Linked DNA regions of Yarrowia lipolytica. The protein of the gene in region 1 interacts with the protein of each later gene in a pairwise test. Links are inferred from orthologs where the notes say so. Each region holds a gene or a part of one and is shown in the gene's direction. Other genes may lie near its edges. The genes, in order: YALI1_A02083g, YALI1_B11916g and YALI1_D21031g.

Region 1 (4,539 bases):
GAACTTCTTCGGTGTTGATCTCTTGCCGCAGTCGGTATCGAACAGGCATAGTCAACTCCCTCGTTAACGCCAAAAATAGAAGTTGAGCTTCATAAAACTTCAAGAATACGTCAAACCATCCATCGGAGCTTTCATTGGACCCTCGAATGCGAAATTGAATCTTTCAACGTTTTCAAGTGTGCACTCGCCATAGAGCTTGCTGATTTTGTTTTCAAAAACTGCTCTGCAGTGCATGGCTTCTTGTTTCCAAAGCTGTATTCGGCGGGCATGATGATATGTGTCGGCCATGTCGGGCATGTCGTTCATGTCGGCCATGTCGTTGAGCTGTGTTTGCCATCACGCTACTGGAACGTTATAGCCATTTCTGAGCTCATACTTCCCCAGTGGTGATGAAATCTGATCAGCTGATGAATAAACAAAACTTGAGACGCTCGAAAGATCCTCGAGGCTCGCCGGGCTGCCTCGCACTCCCCATATCGTGCTGTACACTCACTTGGGCATTGTATTCAAAACACCTCGTTGTAAAGCAGGAAAAGAATATCCACCCTCGTAAACCAGGATGGGGTTTCTCTTTCTCGCCTGATCTCGCGCCTTGTTCAGCTCCTCCTTGCTCTTGAACAGCTCTCGATGACTGTCCCAGTCGATAAACTGGACCGTGGCCTTTGGGAGGTCGGAAACAACAAAGAACCGGTTATCCCAGAGACTCACACGACCGGGAGTTAGCTGGACCACGTGATCGGAAGGTCGTCGAGGCACCTCGCGCGACAGCTGCCATTTGTCGTTTCTGAGGGAGAAGTCGACTCCGGCAAGGTTGAACTTGTTGCCTGCTTCAAACCGTCCAGTCAAGCCTCGCAGTCTGTGCAGCCTTAGAGACAGATCTGGCAACGGAGATAGCGGAGAAAGAATGTTTCTCAATACTAGTTGAAGCGTATCATGTGGCAGTTTGGTCAGAACCCCTTTCACTTGTTCCTCAGAGAGAGTAATAGTTCCATCTGGCGATTGAGAAGCAGCTAGCAATCTGGAAGATACCTCGGAAGCCTCCGTTTCGCACTTTATCCGATACCCATTGAGCTTCTCCAGCAGTCTCAATACATTGGATGCCTGGAACTCCTCCGGAATCAGTTCCGGGTACTCGTAATACATCTTTCTCACCAGGTTTCGTTCTGCAATCTCCACGTTTTGGTTGGTAGGGTCTTCGAACCAGGGGATGTTGTTCTTAACAAGCACATTTCGTAAATGGGACTTTGTTAGACCCAGTAACGGTCTCATTAGCTTCCATCCAGACGCCAATTCCGTCCTTGAATGCTGTTTCAGCGCAATACCACCTCCTCCCCAGGTATAAGGATTAAACGAGACTCGTGGCTGGATTCCTGCAAGTCCAAATAATCCACTTCCTCTAAGCATACGTACCACGAATGTCTCTATACAATCGTCTTGGGTATGTGCCGTGACGACTGTAGAAACTCCGTCATCATTCATGGCCGCAATGAGTTTCGAATAACGCGCCTGTCGCATTGAAAGTTCTTTTGTGTCGTTCAAAGCGTCCAATTTGAGAATCCGATGGTTTATACCTAGTCTAGAGACGATTTCGTGAACGTTTTGGGCCTCCGAAGACGATTCACTCCGTACCCCGTGATCCACGGTGTATGCTGTGGTTTTCTCGCTCAAACCGGGTGTTTGTGATATCATGTAGGCCAGTGCCATTGAGTCGGACCCTCCGCTGACCGCCAGAGCGAGTCTGGGAAGTTTTGTGAGGGTGTTCAAAGGCATGACTGGGGATGTTGGGTATTGCGCAAAAGTGGGTATCTTAGGCCGGTCTTTCGACTTGGAACGATATTTTCGACTAATTTGGTCTGATTTTTTTGCAATTTCCAATCTTTAGAAGAAATATGTTGGAAATATGACGGAATATGACGGAAATATGATGTTGTTCTGATGTGTACGGTGAAACTTGAAATTATGGGGAACTCTAAAATAATGAAAAATCACGATTTTTTTTTTTTCAGTGGTGATTTAAAGTTGAGATGAAAATAACGACCAAAACAGAGAACATTCTGGAAGACTTGAAATGGCGCTGAAGAGCTGGAAACAGAGAAGTCAGCTCAAATCTGCCTGCAAATTTTCATGATTGGTTTTTCTGGACAAAATCGACTGTTTTTAAGCCAAATAACACTACAAGTACGTACTGGAGAAATCCAATCTGGACTTGATACATAAACATCATTTAGGAAGTCTAAGAAGGGGGGATATAACGTCACGTGATCAAATCATGCGATCCACCAGATCCGATTGACGAGGTCGAGGAAGATGGTATAACTCGTCCGATTCGCGATTTGCGGTTATTTCCTTGAAATACCACCTGACCGGGTTCGAACTGGCGACCCATCCTCCTCGTAGAGTTCACTTACATAAGCAAGATGATGCACGCCTGAACACACAATCCAGGAGTGCACTGACCAACACACAACTACACACAATGCGAATGGTGAGTAATGGGCTGGACAGGAGGTTTTAGAGACGCATTTGCGGACAGAATTTGTTGTTACAATGCAGATGCGGTTCAGAATGGACCATCGCCAGTTGCTGGGGCGGTGTGGCAATCAGTGACACATCCGTGATTGGTCTTTGATCTGATCTTGAGAGGAGGGCAATTATGAGTGAAGGTCTGGTTGGTTGTTTAAAATTGAATCTCCGTGGTATGAGACTAGGTGGTATACAAATTCAAGCATACCAACAGCCAACCAGGGATACGACCTCACCGAGTACCGTAGAGCTGAGAGATGTGGTTGAGATCGATTGATCATCCTGTAATGAAGTCAGATGTGCCCATAATTGCAACTGGGACCGCAGAAAGGAACAGATCGAGATGGAGGCCACAAATTGATGTATTAGCCGGGGTACATCTGCTTGCCGTGTCCATGTTGATCGCTGACTTACCAGAAACCAGAAATCCATCTGCGTTCGACCCGTTTGGCTGTATGCCTGAACCACTGGTAATCGTGCGCAGTTAAGGGCTCGTTTACACTTATCTGAGTCTGCTGGCGAATCCATCCAGTACTAACCCAGCTCGACGAAGGAACCGAGGTCAAGGACGTGGAAGTTCTGAGGGAGGACCAGGACCGAATTAACCGCTTCTCTTCTCTCAACACCCAGATGGACCATCTTGAGGACGATGAGAAGGAGTCGTCGACCAGCAAAGAGTACCTGGACGATCTGATCATGGAGATGGAGCTGATGGACGAGGACGAGACCGTCAAGTTCAAGATTGGCGACGCCTTTGTGGACATTCCCCAGAGTGAAGCCATGGTGCGACTAGAGAAGCAGCAGGAGGAAGTGGACGCCAAGCTCGACAAGACCCAGAGCAGGATGGCCGAGATTCGAGACGAGATGGAGGAGCTCAAGAAGCATTTGTATGCCAAGTTTGGCAACTCCATTTCTCTTGAGAGATAGGCTCCAGGGGATAGTTGGATGATGTATTTGATAGATGGTTGATTGTGGGTTGTGTAGATTGTGGAATTACATGAGGCTGAAAAGGCTGGATACGGCTGGATTCGGCTGGATGTGGCTGTCATCGACGTGGTGGAGGAGGATTGAAATAATCATGTTATTAATAGGATAAGTAGATTAATGTAGTCATTTTTTTCTTCTTTTTTTTCTTCTAATTTTTCTAATTTTTTTAATTTTTAATTTTCTAGTTTTTCTATTTTTTAATTTTCTATTTTTTCTATTTTTTTTTTTTCAATTTTACCCCACATGAGCCTCAGTCAAATCATGCACATGCCGCATCGGAAATGCAGAATACAGCCGAACTGAACCTCATGTTGGGCCCCACGAGCTTTTGACACCGATTATCAACTTCCGAAACATGCTGAAATGGCACAAATACGGCTGAAATCGACTCCAATGTCTCCAAAATCCCGACACGCGCCAAAACTCACGACCCAAGAGCTTTTTATGGCAGCGGAAAGAAGACGAGTTTTGTGGATCAAGTCTGATGACCAAGGAGCAGGAGCAGGAAAAGTGGTGAAGAGGAGCAGCAGGAGGGAAAAACGGTTGGACTTGGAGAAACTGTCAAAGACCGGGCTCATTGAGACTCACGTGGAAGAATTGGGTGCATTTGATCGAGGGTCCGAGAATGTGACTGGAGAACCACCGCTAGGCACCATGAGGACCAAGCAGCAGGAGAAAGATACATCTATCATTGCCGAGCACAAAGTGTCCAAATTCGCCTTAGGCCACACAACTGATACCTCTGTCGGGGAAGGTGCTGATCCAAGTACTGATACTATTGGTGGTACGGCCAAGGTCAAAATAGAGGAGGATACCAATCTCGATACAATAACCACAGCTGAGATCAACAGAGAGTCCGCATTATTGACTTCAAAGGTCGCTGCTAAGAGATTGGTAGCCGTGGATTACAACCACGTTCCCTTTTTTCCAGAGGAAGGAGCTCTCGCCAAGACGTTTCTAAAGGAAGATGGTCACAGCAGGCAGTTCTTCATTGTGACTCCTTGGTCAGAAGCCTCCGTCAGAATCCAC
Region 2 (3,895 bases), on another chromosome or scaffold:
TTGGAGAGGAAAAGACCCTTGAGAACCCGCTTGTTGAACTTGGAGTCAGTTCGTCCTGAGTTAGTAAAAAGAAAACGAAATAAAAGGCCGAATGTCAAAATTCGACTGTGATGCCGTATCAATAGAATCCCAAAACAAGATGGGTCTTGATTCTGGCACCACTCTACGTGGCATGTCGAGGGAGTTCGGGCAACGCAACTGTGCCATACACAAGTACCATACTTGTAATAGTACGGTAGATGCCACCGCACAGCACATGCATAGACCCACTCTCAACCTCTCCGTAGTGCTCACGCTCCGCACATTTCTGTGCTTGGACAATGTCATTAATAACACGTCCTCACTCGCACTCACGGGCCAGGAATCGGTACAGCTTGACCAGGAGGGTCAGGTAGACGTTCTCGGACTTGGGAGCAGTTCGGTTAGAATGCTTCTGGTGCTTCTTGGTGAAAGAGTCTTTTCCCATGGTGAATGATTTGTCGAAGATGAAGAGACTGCAGAGAGAAATTAAGATACTTGGGAGGAGTCCCAACTGAAAATTTGAAAGAGCAGTCACGTCACGTGAATTACAAATTGGGACAAACCTTAACCAGATTGGCGAAATTGGGACCCTCCTCCAACATGTTGTGAAAGTCATGTGAGAATGGGCGTAGAGGGGATGTTGTGGGTTATTTGAGGGTCTAGGAATATCGCAGAGAAATTGGTTATATCACTCTGGGTCTCGATATGCCATAATATCGTTTACTGTCATTGTTCCTTTTTACCCTAAAAAAAATGACAAAATTAATAATCAAAACCTTATTTGAGTTTGTTAATCACCGTCGGTTCGATTCGAAGTGGTGCATCTATTTGCTGCACTCACTTTGGCTAAACTGACGGCTATTCGGAAATCCCAATTTGGCAAGGTGTTTATTTTTAGGGTTTAGACTAACATAAAAAAAAATTGGGCAAGCTCCAAAGTCATCTCGAAGAGGTAGCAAGGGGTAAAAGACGGATTAGGAAAAGCAATGGGGTTTTTGGTGGTTTTGTGTTATATGATTTTGTGATTTGAGGATTTATTTTCTCCGTTTCGGATTTGGTTGTCAGGTCAAGTAATTTGTTGGGGTGGCTGGAATGATTCTGATTAACAAAAAGATTGAGATCGTTAGGATATTGGTTGAGGTGTAGTTGGAATGGAGACATGTCTACAAGTGGCTGAAGAGACACGGTGGAGAGAAGTGAAAGAAGATAATTGCGGTTAAAACCCTCTGCTGAGTTCATCCAGGGATTTCTCTTCCTCTTTCCGAGCCCAATTTCGGATTCTATCTTGGAGTTTTCACTTTGAAGTGACAACTACACACACCACTTCTATCACCACGGGTAATCACCCGATCAGAGATTTTGAATAATAACCATTCCATCCGTCACGTGGCAACTAACAAATGTCTCCTTACAATCTATTTTGCTGGAGGACTCCATCTAACTTGAATGTATACTTTAGTCAGCAAATGATGTTTACTCCATGAAGTCCTCGTGGTTCTTTATCAAAAAAACAACCAATGTTGATCCGATAGTAAATGAACTCACCAACAATTTGTTAACTGAGCAATCTCAACGGGTTTCTGGCAAAGTCCTTCTTTGGTGTCTTCTTTGGTGTCTTCTTTGGTGTCTTTTCAACACTCAGCGCGTCTGCACTGAGGAACGAGCGGATCCAAATATCGCAATATTGGGGGAGTGCATGGATATTAATCACAGATTTTTTTATAGGTTGCAATTATATGAGTAAATTAACTGTTTCTGATTCAGTTATCTTCTCAGTTGGACAGGTTTTGACGGTTTGATTTATTGTACTGGTGCAGAACAGAAGAGATTGAAATTCTCACATTACTTGATTGGATTTTTTTCAGGTCAATGAAAAACAGTTTTCTTTTCTGGTTTTCTTTGATCTTTTGGTATTTTCCAGTCACCATAGAACGCTTGAGGATGTGGGTAATGTCGTCGTAACGTCTAACTAAGTATCTTAACTAAGTTCAAGTAAAGGTATACACACTTAGTACATGAGTTAGGGCGGTGCTTTGTTGTCCTCTATGGTTGTTTTCGCAAGAAAAATGTTGTGGAACATGTATCTTTCCATCAGTAAATTTGCAGCTATTCCAATGGTGTAATAATCATAGCCCATTTTCATACAAAATTGTGACTTGTGGAACTACTCTTCAAACTGACTGCACCAACTCCCTAAACTTCCGCCTGCAGATCACCACATCACAGATCGCACACTACAGATCACTCCAGTTACACAATCACTCACACACAATGTCTGCGTCCTCTGAACCTGACACAAACCCCCGCGGCATTCCCCGGGCCCCCTTCGTCGACAATGTGGCCGAGTTTGTGAGCAAGTCGGGCGTCAAGGAATCGCTCGACAAATTCCAGGAAATGCTGCAAAAGTACAAGTATATGGAAATGACGACTTTACAGCGGCAGGCCGGGCTCAAGGAGAAGATTCCGGACATCCAAAAGTCGCTGGAGATGGTGGAGTTTCTGCAGCTCAAGGGTTCGGCCGGCGAAGACGTGGTGACCAACTACGAGCTCAACGACACGCTGTACACAGAAGCCAAGATCGAGGCGAGCGGCATTCAGTCTGTCTATCTGTGGCTGGGCGCCAACGTGATGCTGGAGTACGATGTTGCCGAGGCCAAGCAGCTGCTGAGTGAGCGGTTGGAGGGTGCCAAGAGAGGCTACGACACCGCCGAGGAAGATGTGCTGTTTCTGAGAGAAAACATCACCACCGTTGAGGTGAACATTGCCCGTGTGCACAACTGGGACGTAAACCGACGTAAGAAGGAGCGTGAGGAGGCGGAGCGAGCGGAAAACAAGTAGGTGATGGTATGAAATGAATGTCAATCTTGAGAATGGGTGGAATTTTTTTGGGGGGTGAACAAAATCGGAAGATATCAGCGGAATGTCTGGGCTGGGGCGAATATCACTGCGGCATCCGTTTTTGTTTTGGACAAGAAATCATCGACTTGTGTTGTAGGTACACTTGTCTCTGACTTCCACGTTTGTATAACCTGATAGGGTGCTACTTGTATGTACTCAAGAGTAGATATCTCCAAAGATTGTACGTGTATCATCAAAGCTGGTTTGAAACCGCAATTGGGATCTCTGTTTGATTCTGAGCCGATGGATCTACTTGTTTTCCAATTGTAACTTGTCATGACAGTTCCTGTAGATTGTCTATAGCTCCGCGTACAGCTAAAGAAGTGAAGGCCTGAGAACTCTTCTGGATCAATTGAGATCAATCGTTAATGATAGCAATTCTTGTGTCTTTCATAGGTCGATTATTACTTGTCTTGAAGCTTCTGTACATCTCAGGAACATGTAGTCTTCTCTTCCATGTATACATGCCCGAACTCCTCAGCAAAATCGAAGAGAACAACGTATCACCTGCTCTTCAGAAAGATGTGGGCGCACCGTAAAAACGATACCATCCACCTTGTCTGTCTGCTGGATATAATGTGGAGAAAACCCCCGACCTTTGTGAGGAAAAAAAGGAGAGTTGGAGAAACTGCTAGTTTTGCCTGTTCTAAACTAACCCCCAACTAGTTCCCAACTAACACTTGATCTATAGCCTACAACATACCACATCAGATCGTCCCCAGAAAGGCTCCAATTGCTCCAAAAATTGGGAACCGGTTATTTTGTTCTCCTTCTGAATACTTGGTTCATTTCTCAGCTCAATCAGCCTCTGGTAACCTGTTGTCGTGATAAGCCAAACACAGGAACAAAATCTACCAAATTTAACTCTCAATAGTTGACATATTACTCGACATTCTAAGGGGTGAGGCCTAGATCTTGCACACAAGTACGAGTGCAATTGCGAGTAGGCCAGCTTCCTATTACTCTACTCGGTGGT
Region 3 (4,739 bases), on another chromosome or scaffold:
ATCGGCAAGGCCGGTCTCAAGAACAAGGGCCGAATCTCCCGATTCCTCGCCAACAAGTGTTCCATTGCATCTCGAATCGACAACTACTCCGATGTGCCCACTTCCATCTTCGGAAAGGCCCTCAAGCAGCAGGTCGAGGAGCGACTCACCTTCTACGATACCGGAGTTGCCCCCACCAAGAACGTCGATGCCATGAAGAACGCCATGGACGAGGTTCTGGCCAACATGGGCGACGTTGAGGTCGATGAGGACTCTGACGTTGAGATGGATGACGATTCCGACAAGAAGGAGAAGAAGGAAAAGAAGGACAAGAAGGAAAAGAAGGAAAAGAAGGACAAGTCTGAGAAGAAGGACAAGAAGGACAAGAAGGAAAAGAAGGACAAGAAGCGAAAGAGCTTGGGCGGTGATGAGACTCCTAAGAAGAAGAAGTCAAAGAAGGATTAATGTAGTATATATTTAACGGATAATACAAGTGAAGATGCAAAGTTGCATACATCTGGCATGCAGTGAGGGTTGCCAGATGATGTGATTTTGCGACCGTAGAATGAGGGAAGACTGCCACAAGACTGGAATCTGAGAAATGTGATAACACCTACAAGTATCTGACATGTCTCAGGCACTACAGCTGTGCCTGTTTTCATAGGCGGTATTCTCATACAAGTTCACTGAGCCCTTATCAGGTACAATACTAAGACAAATATACTAATTGTGTTGTGGACGCATCGAAACCGCCTCTGCAACGCAGTCATGACCTCCTACAGGTACAGTCCAGCAACGCCATCATCTGCTCTCAACTCCTTCAACGCCTTTGCTGCGTCGAGCCCGAAAACTCCGGCGAGAATTCCAGTCAGGTCCTCGAACGTGTCACTCTGGTATCGCTCGAACGACTGAGTGCCCACATTCTGGACCACTAGTGCTGTGGCAGGCACCTGTGACTGCTGACATCGGGTGAGAACGGCGGCTCCTAGTCCAGATATGAAGTTTGGAGACTGCAGCAGAGGTGTGGAAGCCAGGGGGACGAGATTCGACTTACCCACATCCAGCTGGTGCACATGAACGTCAGCAATGGTGTTACCAGGTGCAAGAATGAGCGCTTGGCAGGGTTTGATTAGATCAACCAACTGTTGAGCAAACCCATGTGCCAGAAGAAGCTCATCCTGCTTGATTTCCACTAGAACCACATCTCCATACTGAACTGGCGATAGGATTACCTTGTGGGAGGTGATCAGCTCTTTAGTGACATCCTCCAGCTCGTCCTCCTCGTCTTCCTCCTCCAAAAAGTCGGTGGTAAACTTGCGTCTGTTTTCTGCGCTCTGGGCATTCTTTTTGAGCTGAATCTCGCCGACAATCTCGCCGAGATTGATGGGTTTCGATTTCTGAGTGAAAAGAGCTTCCACTACAGGAAAGAGTTTTGCTGTGGACACGAGAAGAGTCTGTGGCGAGGTTGGATGAGTGAGAGAGTTGGCGAAGAGCACGGATTTCGTGTAGGGCGACGCTTCCTGGCCGTCTTCAAATCCTTCTTCATGTCCCTCCTCGATAATGTGTCGGGGAGAGTTGACTTGGAGCCATGGTTTGAGCTGGGTTAGAAATGAATGAAAGGAACAGGAAGTGAGGTCATGGATCTGTTATCCCAAGTCACGCAATTGTAATCTGAGAGCACAACCAGATCATTTCGGTGATATGTTATGGAACAAGTCCACACAACAACATAAATGGCACTAAAAAGACGGTCTTTCAAGATCAGCAAAGCAGAAGCTGTTAAAACCCGTGTTCGTGGTCGTCACCGCAGAGTGGAATCAACGTCTGGACATGCGAGACATCACTATCATGACACTCTGACGTAGTAGCATAGCATCAATCACCAAGAGACATGACGTGAACCGGATTCATTCGCCCGAGTGAGTAGCTCATTCAAGAATGAACAGGTAACATGTCATGGTTGGATAGTGTCGGATAACATGCAATGGTTGAATAATGTCGGCCAACCCTCATCTCATCTCATCTCATCTCGCCTTCTTGGGTATGATCCAGTCGATACCGGTCAGAAACCGCCGTCCAACCACTCAATGGCAACCACTGTTGTTCAACGGCCTCCAGGCTCCTGTACTCACTTGCATTGTGTTGTATTTCCGTCTTTGGTACCGTTTCTGGCAGCGTTGGTGTGCTGGAGAGGGTGGCGCTAGGGTCTCGATAAACTCGCCTCCAAAGATGCGAGGTCTCGAACTTTGTCGAAATTGTAGGCAGTCAAATCGCCAGGCTGACCAAACGACAGATCACCACAACACAACACCAACAGACAAGATGGAAGACCAGAAAAAGTTTGAGCAGCTCTCCGGCGAGTTTGAGGTTGTCCAGCAATGTGAGTAGTGTGCGAAGCTGGCAGCAGCACGGGAACATGAACGGGGATGGAGGCTCACCAGGTGTTGGATCCGACGGAGAAGAGATGGCTGAATTGCGGTGAAAATGGGCTGACAATGGAGAGATTAGGCGAAAGCTGCAATTACACGATCCCAATTGGCCCTAACAGGTCCATGCGTGTTGCTGTGACCGATATCAGGTGATAACTGGGTAGCACTGGGGTGTCAAATCAGTTTTATGACCACCAACGGAAGGACTGAAGGACCTGAAGACGTCCAGCTGAGACCCTGGCTCGTCCGAATGAGCCGACTGAGCCGATACAATCAGTTGAACGTTGTTTCGGATTAATAGCCATCCTTTTGCAACAGATTTGTCGACATCAAGTGGGTGGTACTGAAAGGTGCATTCTCTAGGCTGACGTCCTAGCCGGTTGCTAGCGGTATATGCGAGAGAAGACCCAGGTCAGTTTCTCATGTTCTGTGGTATTCTATGGTCTTGCGGGGATTCATCTCTTCTAGATAGATGCCTTCTAAAACCCCGACGTGCTATCTCTCTTCTACCAGCACCCCGAAGCCGAAGCCGAAGCCGATCCCCAACCCCCTCTACTTCCGGCCCCGGCCACTGCCGTGCGTACTAACCCAGCCATGCAAAAACACATTGAGTCCCGGCAAAAGCTCGAGGCCCAACTACAGGAAAACCTCATTGTTGAGGATGAGTTCAAGTCCGTCAAGGACAACGCCAAGGTCTACAAGCTGACCGGCCCCGTGCTGGTGCCCCAGTCTATCGACGAAGCCAAGAGCAACGTGGAGAAGCGACTGGAGTTCATCCGCGGCCAGATCTCCACCGTGGAGGAGGAGGTTGCAAGTTTGCAAAAGCAGGCTGAGGACAAGAGAGATCAGGTGAGTTGAGAAAGGCGATACTGTTCTGGTGGGGAAATGACTGTCAAATATGGCGCACAAGATGCATAAGATGCACAAGGCGCACTGGTTTACTTCATGTTTTCTGTTATTTACATATGCACTAAATGCCAGGAAGTGGCGTGTCGGCGTTTGCCCGTCCTGCTTACTTACTAACACAGCTCCTGGCCCTGCGAGCCAAGCTCCAGGCTCCCCCGTCATAGTCAGACGTGGTGCAAGTCTAGACCTCCAATAGCGTCTCGGTTTCGGCTTCGACCTTTTCAGTATCGAGATGCTCGGGGCCAAAGCTCAGAGGCAGCAGCTCCTTGATGGTTTGCATCGTGTACTTTCCGTCCTGGGTTAGCAATCAATTGATAGAATGATGACAGTGTATACTCACCTTGGTGAAGAGATAGATGGGAATGTCGGTAGACCATTCTCTGATGCTGCGTTAGTACGGACAACCACTGAAGGCGTAGCTGTAGGCTCTGGTGCGATTTCGAACGTCAGACTAAAACACGGCTCCTAAGACAAGACAGGTTTATACTCACAACTGTCGACAAATACCGCATGGGGAGCAGACCACAGAAAGGTCCGAAGCCACTCCAATAGCCTTGAACTTCTTGTGTCCCTCCATCTGTGTTAGTAGGCAAGTAGGCACCATCACTTGATCTCCCCGTGCCCATGCTGACACTGCATCCTCTGTGTGGTGTACTCACAATAGCCCTGGTGATGGCCACTCTTTCGGCGCAAATAGCACCTCCGTAACTGGCGTTCTCCACATTGGCGCCCTGGATCCATTCTCCAGACTCGGTCAGCAGCACAGCTCCGACTCGGAACTTTGAGTAGGGCGAGTAAGAGAAGTCACGTGCGCTGAGCGACTTGTCCCGCAGGTTTTCGAGTTCGGATTTGGTGATTGACATGTATGTGTAAGAGTGGGTTGTCCTTGTGGCACTGGTACGGCACTTGAAGTGTGGGCGGTATTGTCCCAGCTGATATCATCTCTTATCTCAAAGTTTATTAATGTGCGAAATAAAACACGTATTTAATTTCAACCTTGATTCGCAACCACCACCACCACCACAGCCAACGACGTTGGGTGGCAAATCTCATGGATTATAACAGCGCGGATTTCAAGGAGATATGGGGCAAGGCCGCCGACACCGCGCTGCTGGGACCGTACAACTACCTCGCCAACAACCGGGGCCACAACATCAGAGAACACTTGATCGCAGCGTTCGGAGCGGTTATCAAGGTGGACAAGAGCGATCTCGAGACCATTTCGCACATCACCAAGATTTTGCATAACTCGTCGCTGCTTGTTGATGACGTGGAAGACAACTCGATGCTCCGACGAGGCCTGCCGGCAGCCCATTGTCTGTTTGGAGTCCCCCAAACCATCAACTCCGCCAACTACATGTACTTTGTGGCTCTGCAGGAGGTGCTCAAGCTCAAGTCTTATGATGCCGTCTCCATTTTCACCGA

What was found.
Region 2: the proteins of YALI1_A02083g (region 1) and YALI1_B11916g interact in binary tests that used the Saccharomyces cerevisiae proteins (3 or more experiments, as listed by UniProt). The link is inferred for Yarrowia lipolytica from reciprocal best matches to the Saccharomyces cerevisiae genes GIM3 and PAC10.
Region 3: the proteins of YALI1_A02083g (region 1) and YALI1_D21031g interact in binary tests that used the Saccharomyces cerevisiae proteins (3 or more experiments, as listed by UniProt). The link is inferred for Yarrowia lipolytica from reciprocal best matches to the Saccharomyces cerevisiae genes GIM3 and YKE2.

The regions. Positions count from the first base shown.
Region 1 is NC_090770.1:206,860-211,398, reverse strand, and holds YALI1_A02083g (uncharacterized protein), read left to right. Parts: upstream 1-2,476; coding exon 2,477-2,485; intron 2,486-3,066; coding exon 3,067-3,450; downstream 3,451-4,539. Other genes in the region: YALI1_A02113g (uncharacterized protein), read left to right, coding at 52-390; YALI1_A02096g (uncharacterized protein), read right to left, coding at 490-1,770; YALI1_A02075g (uncharacterized protein), read left to right, coding at 3,874-4,539. UniProt on the Saccharomyces cerevisiae protein: Binds specifically to cytosolic chaperonin (c-CPN) and transfers target proteins to it. Binds to nascent polypeptide chain and promotes folding in an environment in which there are many competing pathways for nonnative proteins.
Region 2 is NC_090771.1:1,190,012-1,193,906, reverse strand, and holds YALI1_B11916g (uncharacterized protein), read left to right. Parts: upstream 1-2,292; coding exon 2,293-2,859; downstream 2,860-3,895. Other genes in the region: YALI1_B11934g (60S ribosomal protein eL18), read right to left, coding at 1-55, 355-466. UniProt on the Saccharomyces cerevisiae protein: Binds specifically to cytosolic chaperonin (c-CPN) and transfers target proteins to it. Binds to nascent polypeptide chain and promotes folding in an environment in which there are many competing pathways for nonnative proteins.
Region 3 is NC_090773.1:2,101,806-2,106,544, reverse strand, and holds YALI1_D21031g (uncharacterized protein), read left to right. Parts: upstream 1-2,301; coding exon 2,302-2,359; intron 2,360-3,000; coding exon 3,001-3,257; intron 3,258-3,436; coding exon 3,437-3,478; downstream 3,479-4,739. Other genes in the region: YALI1_D21076g (uncharacterized protein), read left to right, coding at 1-444; YALI1_D21044g (uncharacterized protein), read right to left, coding at 756-1,577, 2,112-2,117; YALI1_D21023g (uncharacterized protein), read right to left, coding at 3,496-3,609, 3,655-3,700, 3,806-3,891, 3,974-4,177; YALI1_D21022g (uncharacterized protein), read left to right, coding at 4,366-4,739. UniProt on the Saccharomyces cerevisiae protein: Binds specifically to cytosolic chaperonin (c-CPN) and transfers target proteins to it. Binds to nascent polypeptide chain and promotes folding in an environment in which there are many competing pathways for nonnative proteins.